Caenorhabditis elegans: one gene and its partner. The protein of the gene in region 2 interacts with the protein of the main gene of each other region in a pairwise test. Each region holds a gene or a part of one and is shown on either strand. Other genes may lie near its edges.

The links.
Region 1: the proteins of Y61A9LA.3 (region 2) and rsd-2 interact in a two-hybrid assay, tested with the Caenorhabditis elegans proteins (one study listed by BioGRID).

The regions. Positions count from the first base shown.
Region 1 is NC_003282.8:13,537,166-13,542,218, forward strand, and holds the start of rsd-2 (RSD-2 domain-containing protein), read right to left. Parts: upstream 3,101-5,053; coding exon 2,982-3,100; intron 2,494-2,981; coding exon 2,197-2,493; intron 2,150-2,196; coding exon 2,012-2,149; intron 1,510-2,011; coding exon 1,375-1,509; intron 518-1,374; coding exon 385-517; intron 330-384; coding exon 187-329; intron 1-186.
Region 2 is NC_003283.11:4,569,047-4,574,253, reverse strand, and holds the start of Y61A9LA.3 (C2H2-type domain-containing protein), read right to left. Parts: upstream 3,120-5,207; 5' UTR 3,112-3,119; coding exon 3,053-3,111; intron 2,526-3,052; coding exon 2,297-2,525; intron 1,957-2,296; coding exon 1,866-1,956; intron 1,122-1,865; coding exon of another isoform or gene 330-1,121; intron 1-329. Other genes in the region: hpo-39 (uncharacterized protein), read left to right, coding at 330-1,121; sut-2 (Zinc finger CCCH domain-containing protein 14), read left to right, coding at 4,227-4,277, 4,339-4,655, 4,715-4,819.

The DNA of each region.
Region 1 (5,053 bases), on a different chromosome or scaffold from region 2:
GGGTGAAAATTAATTTTCGATAGCTACAATTTAGAAAAAGTTGGCAAAATTCTAGATTTTAATTAGAATTTATCCCTATTTCGAGTAAGAATGCGAATTTAAGTTTTTTTGTGAGGGTGATTTTCAGCCAAATTTAGCCGTTTTTTCAGGAGATTTCGCTCCACCAATTTCGATAAAAATACACACATTGCCAACTCCACTCTATACGTGACACCTCGTTCCATCGATTCTGCTGCAACATTAACTTTTCCAAATGTATCAGCAAATGCAACACTCTGAGGATAAGTAATGTGAGTTTCAATCGATGAACATGCCGCTTTTGCAGAGATCTGAAAATATACCATTTTATATTGCTGAATATCGAAAAAAAAGAAGAAAGCTAACCAATAATTCGCCATTTTCAATTCTCGTCATCTCACATTCTCTGTATTCTATAGCATCCGGCCGGGGATCAGGGAAATATGTATCATTTTCGTAGTTGTACTCGGTGAAAAGTATGAGTTGACCGGCTTTTGCTCTGAAAATTTGGAAATTAAAACTGAGGAACAGTTCAAAACGGTATTTTGAGTGGTAAAAACCTAAAATTCGAGGTTTTCGTGTGAAAATTCGAGAAAAATCATGGGAAATTTGATAATTTTGCTCGAAAATGCTATTTTTTACATCAAATAACGCAAAAATTGGATTTCCTGGACTAAATAAACGAAAAATTCCGATTTTTCTGAAATACGCTCGAAAAATTGCTCTTTTCCAATTTAAAACATTTTTTCTGAGATCTTTTACAAAAAAATCCCGTTTTCAGCAATTTCTCACCTAAAAACTTGATTTTTTTGACGGAAAATTTAGAAATAGCCGAATATTTGAATTTAAAACCTATTTTTCTGTGAAAAAGTCTTAAAAAGCGCAAATTTCACAGAAAAATGCTTTAAAATTGGAGAAAGCTCACGAACAGCTCAAAACCACTTTTTAAGTGGTAAAAAAGAAAAAACCCCGGAAAAATCGGCGGAAACTGAGTAATTTTGCTCGAAATTGTAATTTTTAACTGAAAATCCCGATTTTTCAGTAAAAATTGCTCGTTTTCAATTTAAAACGCTCTTTTTCCGAGATTTTTCCCTTGAGACTCAAATTTTCCCGATTTCTCATGAAAAAACTTGATTTTTTAGGGAAAATTAAGAGATAGCAGAATATTTAAATTCAAAACCATTTTCTCTGTGAAAACGTCATATAAAAAACGCAAACTTCACAGAAAAATGCTTCAAAATTGGCAATTTTGGCAAAATTTCGCCAAAAAACCCCGGATATTCGAGTTTTCCAGTTTTTTACTGTAAAAAATGATTTAAAACACGATTTTTCGATTAGAAATACATAAAATCTTACGGAGAGCCGACTGGAAGATGAACTTTTATTGAAGATTCCAATTGTTCAGAATAACAGATCGCAGAATTTGTCTCCTCGTTGTCAAATAGAATAATTGCGATCACTTGTGAATCGCTCATCTTTTTCGGTGATAACCTGTTAATTTCCATATTTTAAAGCGAATCTTGAGGCACTTTTCGCGAGAAAAACTGAAGTTTATGTGTGTGTGTGAAGGGGATGCGCGTGGAAAATTCAAGGCTGTGGTCGTCTGCGTCTCGAAAAAAAGAAAAATATAAATATTTTAACTCTAAATACGAAATATTCCGCTTTTTGCGCCGAAAAACGCCTTCAAAACCAAATTTTTTTGAAAATACTCGATTTTTCATCAAATTTGACGAGTTTAGGATGGTAAAATCAGTAATATACAGCATTTTTTGTTGAAAAATCAGATTTCTCATTTGAAAAATGCGTTTAAAATATTAAAAAAACATCTTTCAAGATGAGAACAATCTGAAAAGGCAAAAAAAACAAAAACAAATCATCGTGTGCAAACACTGTGACGCAAAGTCACGGACAACTACTGTAGCCCACATGAAATTTTTATTAACATTTTCAGGTCTAGAATTCAGATAAATTCACGAAAGTCTATCAAAATTACCTTAATTCTTCAAGTCTGTTTTGCTCGAAAATTTCCAGTTTCATCATGGTGTCAGATGTGTCTTTGTTTGCCAAAAATTTGAGTCGCCCGGTCACTTTGAAAAGTGGATTTCCGCTTTCTTGGTAGTTTAGGTCATTTCTGCAATTAATGATCGACTTTTTGGATGATAACCCCTGAAAACGTACACATAAATGAACGCTTTATAAACTCCTGGTCCGGTAGGTGGAGAATCCGAACAATCAACGATTCCATACCAATCCGCGTACCCCAGATCTCTGTTATAGGTGAGATAGTTCGGATTGTCACCGAAAGCTATCCAGCTCTTGTAATATACGACCTGTTCATTTGTATGAGTGGGTAGGATTACACAATCTGCCGGTTCAGGTTCTTTGATGGTTGAGGTGCTGGCATCAATTTTCATTACCCCATCTTCTGTCATCACCTCATTTTCGATGAAGGTCAGGAAAAAACCTGGCCGGGGCCTGAAAAATGATAAAAGTGCACGGCCATGTGTCGATTTACGCTGTATGTGTACTCCTCGTGGAGAACTGTTAATTTTTGCAGTAAAATTCTTGATTGTAGATCATTTCCGATAAATTGTTTTAAATTTCAGATTTAAATTGCTGATTAATATTTTATTTATCTTTTTTTTTCAATTTAAAGTGTAAGAAAAACGCGAAAAAATGGAGTACACAACGGTTCATCAATAGAGCGCGTTTAACAACCTAAAATAATTAAAATTTAAATTTTTCCCAGAAGTGGGCAACAACTTGCCTACGTTTACGAAATAAATTAATAATTTTAAAAAGTGTTTAATTTAAAAAAAATTCAAACTCGACAATTTCCACTCAAAATCTGTAAAACCTTCTCCTCGAGGAGAACACTCGCTGCGTAAATCGACACATGGCCGTGTTAGAGTTTTTTCACGGCCATTCTTCTATCTCCACTCATAAAGGTGTGTTCAACTTACTCCAATTGTTGCTGCCCTTCGATGCGAGCCCAAAAGAACTCGTGGCTCTCCCTTTTAAAACAGCCAAAGACGTCATTTTCTTGATCATGGTGCAGGATGAGTACTCGGCAGGAGGACATTATGCTGAGATATTACAAAAAATTTGAAAAAATAGCGTTAGAATGACGGGGGGACGAGAGATTCAAGCAAGTGGTGTCAGACTGTCTCGTTACAGTTTCATCTACAAAAAATGTGGGAATATTTTTCCAGAAAAGTTGTGACGTCAGCACGTTCTCATCCATGCGAAATCAGATGAGACGTCTGCGTCTCACCTCCCGCATTTTTTGAAGATCAAACCGAAATAAGACATTCTGACTGTGTGCAAAGAAAAAACAAAAAAAAACAAAAAAAAAAGATCAAAGTGTGAGAAACAGGTTACCGGCGAGAAAAACAAATTTTTAGAAATAAAAAACAACACAATTTTTGAACCCGAAACCTTCCACAAAATGCCTGCCTACATGCCTACTGGTAAACTAAAAGAAACACCGGAAATCAGGCAAAAGTGTAACCACGTATGCAAGCAGGCGTGAGGTATGGGATATTTTTGTATTTTTCTTTTTTGCGTAAGGTGAGTAGGCAGGCAGGTAGGCGTACCGGTAGGCGTGAGGTAGGCACGTAGACCTACATTCAGGCATGGTGTAGGCATCAGAACTTGCCTGTCTACCATAGAACAACCTATAAATTAGAAAAAAAAATAGGTCGCGTAGAATGTTTTTTTTTTCAAATTTTCGTAATACCTCAGACACCTGTCCAGTTATGAAAGATTATTATCTGATCTAAATATTAATTTTTGAGGCGTTAAGAAGTGCCAAACTTTCTACGAAAAAACGAAAAAAAAACCAAAAAAAAAAGCAACTTTCAAATCGAATAAAAGAGAGAGAAAAGAGAGAGAATAGAGAAATAGACAACTGGTCGTTTGCTCTGTTGTCATGATTTACGACAGATGACCTTAGGCCTGAACCTGATAATGTAATTTTTTATTGCGCTCGTTACAAGTTACCGAGCACTAAAATGGCAAAAACACCATAAATACAAAAAAATAAAGAAATCCAATACATTTTTTTTGAAATACTAATCTTATATCACACTAGGCTAATTGATCGGTTCCTCTACGATAGACACATTCTCATACCTACGTAGCCACACCACGCCTGCCTACAGTTTGTACCATGTTTTTTATAGCTTGACAGTAGGCATGTAGGCATGAAGTAGGCAGGAATTTTCTTGCCTACTTGGAAGGCTTGTTGCCACAAGTTCTGATTGAAGAAGTTACTGTAGCCAAAAAAGAGTTTTTTTTAAATCTATCTATAACTTTTAACATGAACAAACATAAATCGGCAATTTTAATTTTGAAAAAAATCGTCCAAAAACTCTTAAATCTTTAGAATTTTAAATCAACAGCTAAACGAGGGTTTTCCGGTCATTCTTCCATTATCAAAGAGAGTTTGGAATCCTATTAAAGTTACTTCTATAGGTTACAGCCTATTTTCGGGAAAATTACCAAATTTAATATTCAGCTGAATATTCAGCAATATTCAGCTGAAATGAATTCAGCAAGTAGCAAAACCTAACTTTTTGGAAACGTTGGAAATCGAATGAAAATAGATAATATTCCAAAAAATGGAGACACGGAAAAGAAGAGGAAATGGAAATAATCACGGGCAGGAAATGAATAATGCTGCAAGTCAAAAGACGGTGAGAGACGCAGAGAAATAGGTGTCCTCCCAGGAGGAGGAGGAGTTTGATATGTAATTTTTTAGGCCAAGCAATAAGAGGGGTATAGTGCAATGTTTTTCCAGTTGCTCACGGTACCTTCAAGCTGTGACCGCACGTGGTGTTAGAGTGTCTCACTTCGGCTTGATCTACGTAGATCTAAAAAAATGCGGGTGAAGAGACGCAGAGTTCTCAACTGATTTCGCAACAGCCTGACACCAAACGACGGGCAAACTGTTTTTGTTTTTTCACAAGTTTAAGCTAAAAATAAAAGTAATCTATATTCGAAACGACAAGAAACCCGGTAGATGTCGGTCCAT
Region 2 (5,207 bases):
GTTTTCAAAATTCAACTTTTTGTGCGAAAATCTCGACTTTTTCACCAAAAAAGTTGAATTGTGGAAACCTCAAAACTTTTTCAGCGGTCTCGTTATGAAAATCAGGTAGTTTCAGCATCTAAACAGCATATGTATAATGTTTCAGAAAAAGTTTAGGTTTTGTATTCCCGTAATCCATCATTTTACATTGACCACTTTCACCGCTGCTTGCCGACTGAATACATAATTTTTTGACTTGGAAATTGTTTTAGCATCTGCAAAAAATATTTGGTTTAATTACCCAAGTTTGAGTTTGAGGTACGCCGGTCAACTGCTGCAGGTCATTGGTCATGTCGGAACCACCTCCTCCTCATTCCGCCCCAGTGCCTATGGTGAAGACGGATTTCTTCGCTTTCTCTGGTCCTTATCTCCCGGAGGACGCTCACGGTACGAGTTCTCCGCCGGAGAAACAACAGCAAACCCGGAAGCGCGGTCGCCCGACCGCTCTTGAATTGCTCACTACCCGTGTTGAAGAATTGGAAAAGGAAAATTCGAGCTTGAGAACCTTCCGTACCGCCGCTGAAAGCAGATGTCGTGCCCTGGAGAGCAAACAATCGGAACTCTTCCAAACCGTCGAGCAGCTCAAGGTAGTTGTTGCCAAGCTCACGAACGAATGCTCTGCCCGTGTTACCTCCAATTTGCCCGCTCCACGCCTGTTCGCCGATGTTCTCAAGGGACAATCAGCCGAGAAGAAAGCAGAGATCATTGCAGAAAGACGTGAAGCAGCAGCCAGCATTTCCCTGTTTGAGAAGAAGACTCATTTCGCCGTGATTGAAAATCTACCGGATGATGGCTCGGATTCACAATCCGCCAAGGATAAGGTTTTTCTCGATAATTTAATTGCCGCTAATCCCTCCCTCCCTGTACATATTCAAACTTTCCGCGTCAAAACTCGCAAACCAGTCTTATCCCGCCCAACAAAAATTCGTTTCTCTTCTGAAGCCGACCGCAATTCGTTCATTTTCTCTTTCTCCAAAACTCTCCGTTCGTTGCCTGATCGCCCCACTAACCTTCCAAGACCCATCCGCTGCAGACGCGATATGACCAACGATGTTATCTATCCTGAGAGAGTTGAGAGCTGACGCTTATAACAGAAATACCCAAGCTGGCGAGATTCGTTATTATGTGCGCGACCTTAAGATTGTGACTCTCTCGTCACCGCGTCCACTTCCTATCTCTGTTGATTCGGCTGCTCCCGTTGCTAACGCATAGGTAAACGGCCACCGGGCTTTATTATCGTCTTGTCCGTCCATTGCTTCTCAAAGTGTGTCTTTCAAAGGTGTAATTTATCGTACGCGTCATACAGTAGCAGGCTTTCCCAATTTAATTTATTGTCTACCCACCATAGACGGGTTCTTCAAATCCTCCGAACCTTCCATAAAATTATTTCAAGCGAGTATCACTTCCCGTCCTTATCATCGTTCGTTCGAGCTTCACGCTCTACTCGTCACCCCTATCTACTTGTTGTCTGTGGCGTCCCGTCTAAATGTTTTCTACATGTTAACTTGTCGTTGTGGAACCGAATAGCAAAACGTTTCCCTAAACTGTTAACTCCAAATGCATTTGCGTCGCGCCTAGGCTCTATCCCATTTGACACCCTCTTCCCCCCAACTTGACCTCCCGGGCTATAGCTGGTCCAATTGGTCATTTTATTTATCTGTCCACACATCTTTTTTATTTTACTTTTTTTCTTTGTCTTCCGGTGTAGCTATTTCTTGTGGCAAATAAACAATTATTATTACTTTTCCGAATTTTTGAATCGCCATCACTTTTTTGAGAAATTTTCGGCAGTTTCGGGCCATTTTGGGTCCAGTCTAAAAACGTACCACTGATAACTTGAATTTCTGGAGATGCAGACCGACTTCTCGCGATTTCCATTTCTCCGCCAATGTGCTCAAAGTCTAGTCTCGGCTGAAACTATTTAATTCGTGAATTTTCATCAAAATCCGAAAAAAAAGTCTAAAAACCAGAAAAACCACATCGCAACCAATCAGCGATTCGCTCCGCCCATCCTTCAACCAATCAGATTGAGTGGGCGGAGTTCGAAGTCGTTGATTGGTCGGGGAATTCTCGTTTTGAAGTCAATTCTCAAAATGAGGATTCCCCGACTTCGAACTCCGCCCACTCCATCTGATTGGTTCAAAGATGGGCGGAGCGAATCGCTGATTGGTCGGGGAGTTTTGGAGGGAATTTCAGCGAAAATTGAGTTTTTAAGTTGGATTTTTTGAACTTTTCGACTCAAAATCGCGCTCCTTACATGTCTGAGCAACGGCTGTCTCCCTTCATTTCTTCCCATCGTCGTCAAATCCTCTCCAAACGGCCCCTTATCGAAACCACGTCTTCTCGAATTATCCACTACGGGTCCATTATAGGTGTCCACCACCGGCTGAAATCCGTGATACGGATCACTTCCTCCAAGAATTGCAGCTCTCATAGAAGGAACCGGCGGGCCAGGACGTCTATCGAAATCGCCACGTCTAGCATCACTGAAAAAATATAAAAAAATGAGTTTTATTTTTTTTTCCCGGAAAATCCGGATTTTTTCATCCTCAGAGGTGAGGTACCGAAATTTGAGACTTTGCTTTTTAGACCCAAAATGGTCCAAAACTACCGAATTTCGTAATGAGACGTTCTGAAAATATTTCAAAAAAAAAGTTATGACCGCTCGAAAATTTTGGAAAAAATGGCCAATTTTTAGCTAAAATCTCAAATTTTTTCCAACTTCTCGGTGTTGCAGCGGTTAGAACTTAATTATTATTTTTTTATCACTTTTTAATAAATATTGTGGTCTTTGATTAGGCGTTTATTCGTTGATTTAAGTACATTTATGGTCAGTGGGGCACAAAATTTAACTTTTATTTGTGCCCCACTGACCATAAATGTACTAATCAATGAATAAACGCCCAATCAAAGACCACAATATTTATTTAAAAGTGATAAAAAAAATAATAATTAAGTTCTAACCGCTGCGACACCGAGAAGTTGGAAAAAATTTGAAAAAAAAACGGCTCACATTGGAATATGCGGAGGAATTATCCGATTTGGAACATGTTCGTACGACGAATGTCGCATGTCTCTAGCTGGAAAAAAAAACCGGAAATTCGTGGACAAGAACGGATTTGAGGAGGAAAAACGAGGGGAGACGCAGACAGAAATGCACGCAGCCACAGAAAATCGATAGTTTTCCACGAAATCAGTCTAGAAATATTTGGAAAAAAATTATTTCAAGGATGGAAATTGCTGGTAAAACTGTGAAAGTGCTTCAAAAATCGATTGAAAATGAAAAAAAATCTAAATATTAAATTTCATTAAATTCTCTCAATTTCTAGTTGTTTTTGGTGATTAAATGAACAAAATATGCATTTTTTCGGCAAAAAAAATCCGAAAATCTGAAATTTTAAGCTCGAAAACCTAAGAAACTCTCTGAAAATCGATAAAAACAAGAAATCATAAATTTCAATCTATTTTCAGTTATTTTTGGTGATTAAATAAACCAAATACACATTTTTCCGGCAAAAAACCCTGAAATCCTCTGAAAATCGATTAAAACTTAAAAAAAAATGAAGCGTCCGTAAAAATAAAGAAAAATCATAAATTCCAGCGATTTTCTTAATTTCTAGTTATTTATAATGATTAATTGAACAAAATAGGCATTTTTCGACAAAAAACCCTTAAAATCTTCAATTTTAACACAGAAAACCTGAGAAATCCTCTGCAAATCGATTAAAAAACACAAAAACCTTTTATGCAAAAATCTGCATTTTGTCGTCACAGTGTGTGCATACTTTACACCGAATCTTACGACAAATAATTGTCGCTGCTGGCATTGTGAGAGAGAAAGGGATACACGTGATTTTCGTATAATTCCGATTCGTTTTCCCTGAATTTTTCTAATTAATTTATTGAATTATTTTAAATTATTGATTTTCTGTCAATTTTCACACAAAAATTGCCGCTGATTTATTCAAAGTGTCGGTTTTTATCCCGTTATTTGAATATTTTCGAAAAACCAGATTATTTGTGGTTTTAGTGATTTTTAGTGAACTTCCGGAAGTTTCTTGAGCCAATATAACTTTGAAATCAGTTTTTAAAGCTTACTATGACATTATTATCTTAAAAATTGGAACAAAAATTGTGATATTTAGCTTATTGATTTTTTTTTGGTTTTCAGATATAATCTGTTCGAAATGAATACTCAAACAGGGACAGGAACCTCAGAAGTGTCGAAAAAACTAAAGGTAACGTTAAATAAGTTAATAAATTTCAAAAATCGCAAAAATTAATAATTTTTTAATTCAGGCCGCGATTCGAGCCAAACTTGAAGAGCTCGGCGTCTACGTGGACGATGAATTACCCGATTATATTATGGTAATGATTGCGAATAAGAAGGAAAAAGTGCAGATGAAGGACGATCTCAACTTATTTATCGGAAAAAGCACTGCGAAATTCGTCGACTGGCTTTTTGATCTGTTCGATCGCCTACAAAACGCTTCGAACAAGCAAGGAGAGACTAGTAAAAAGGAGGAGGATAAGAGAAAAGAGCTGGAAGCAACAGCAGCAGCAAAGGAGCATGAAGAGAAACGAAGAAAAGAGAAGGAAGAGCATGAGAAAGAACTGTAAGTGCCGAGCGAAGGAATAAGAAATAATTAAAAATTGAAAATTTCAAAAATTCCAGGCAAAAAGAAAAAGAACGTGAGAAGGAGCGTCAACGAGAACGTGATCGTGAAAAGCGGGCCGAAGAGGAGAAGCGTCGTGAGGAGAAGAGAAAAGAGATTCAGAGGTAGTTTTCTGATAGAACACAGAATATTTCGGGATCACAAAATTCTGAGAATGCGTATTGCGCAGCATATTTGACGCGCAAAATATCTCGTAGCGAAAACTACAGTACTCTCTCTCTCTTTAAAGGAGGACTAACGGTTCGGACTCAAAATGAGCTCAATCACGCTCTCCTCAAAGCTGATTAATCATTAGAGCGCGCTCCGCCTCTATTTCTGTGCGACGCTGCTTTTTTTGTGCAAAATTCAAGAATTAAAGGTGGTGTATTCAAAATTTTTATTGTTTTATTAGACTTGAAATTGTCTCAAAACACCGAATTTCATAATGAAACTTCTTGAAAACTTCTCAAAAAAAGTTATGGCGGCTCAAAAAATGGACTAAATGTAGTTAAA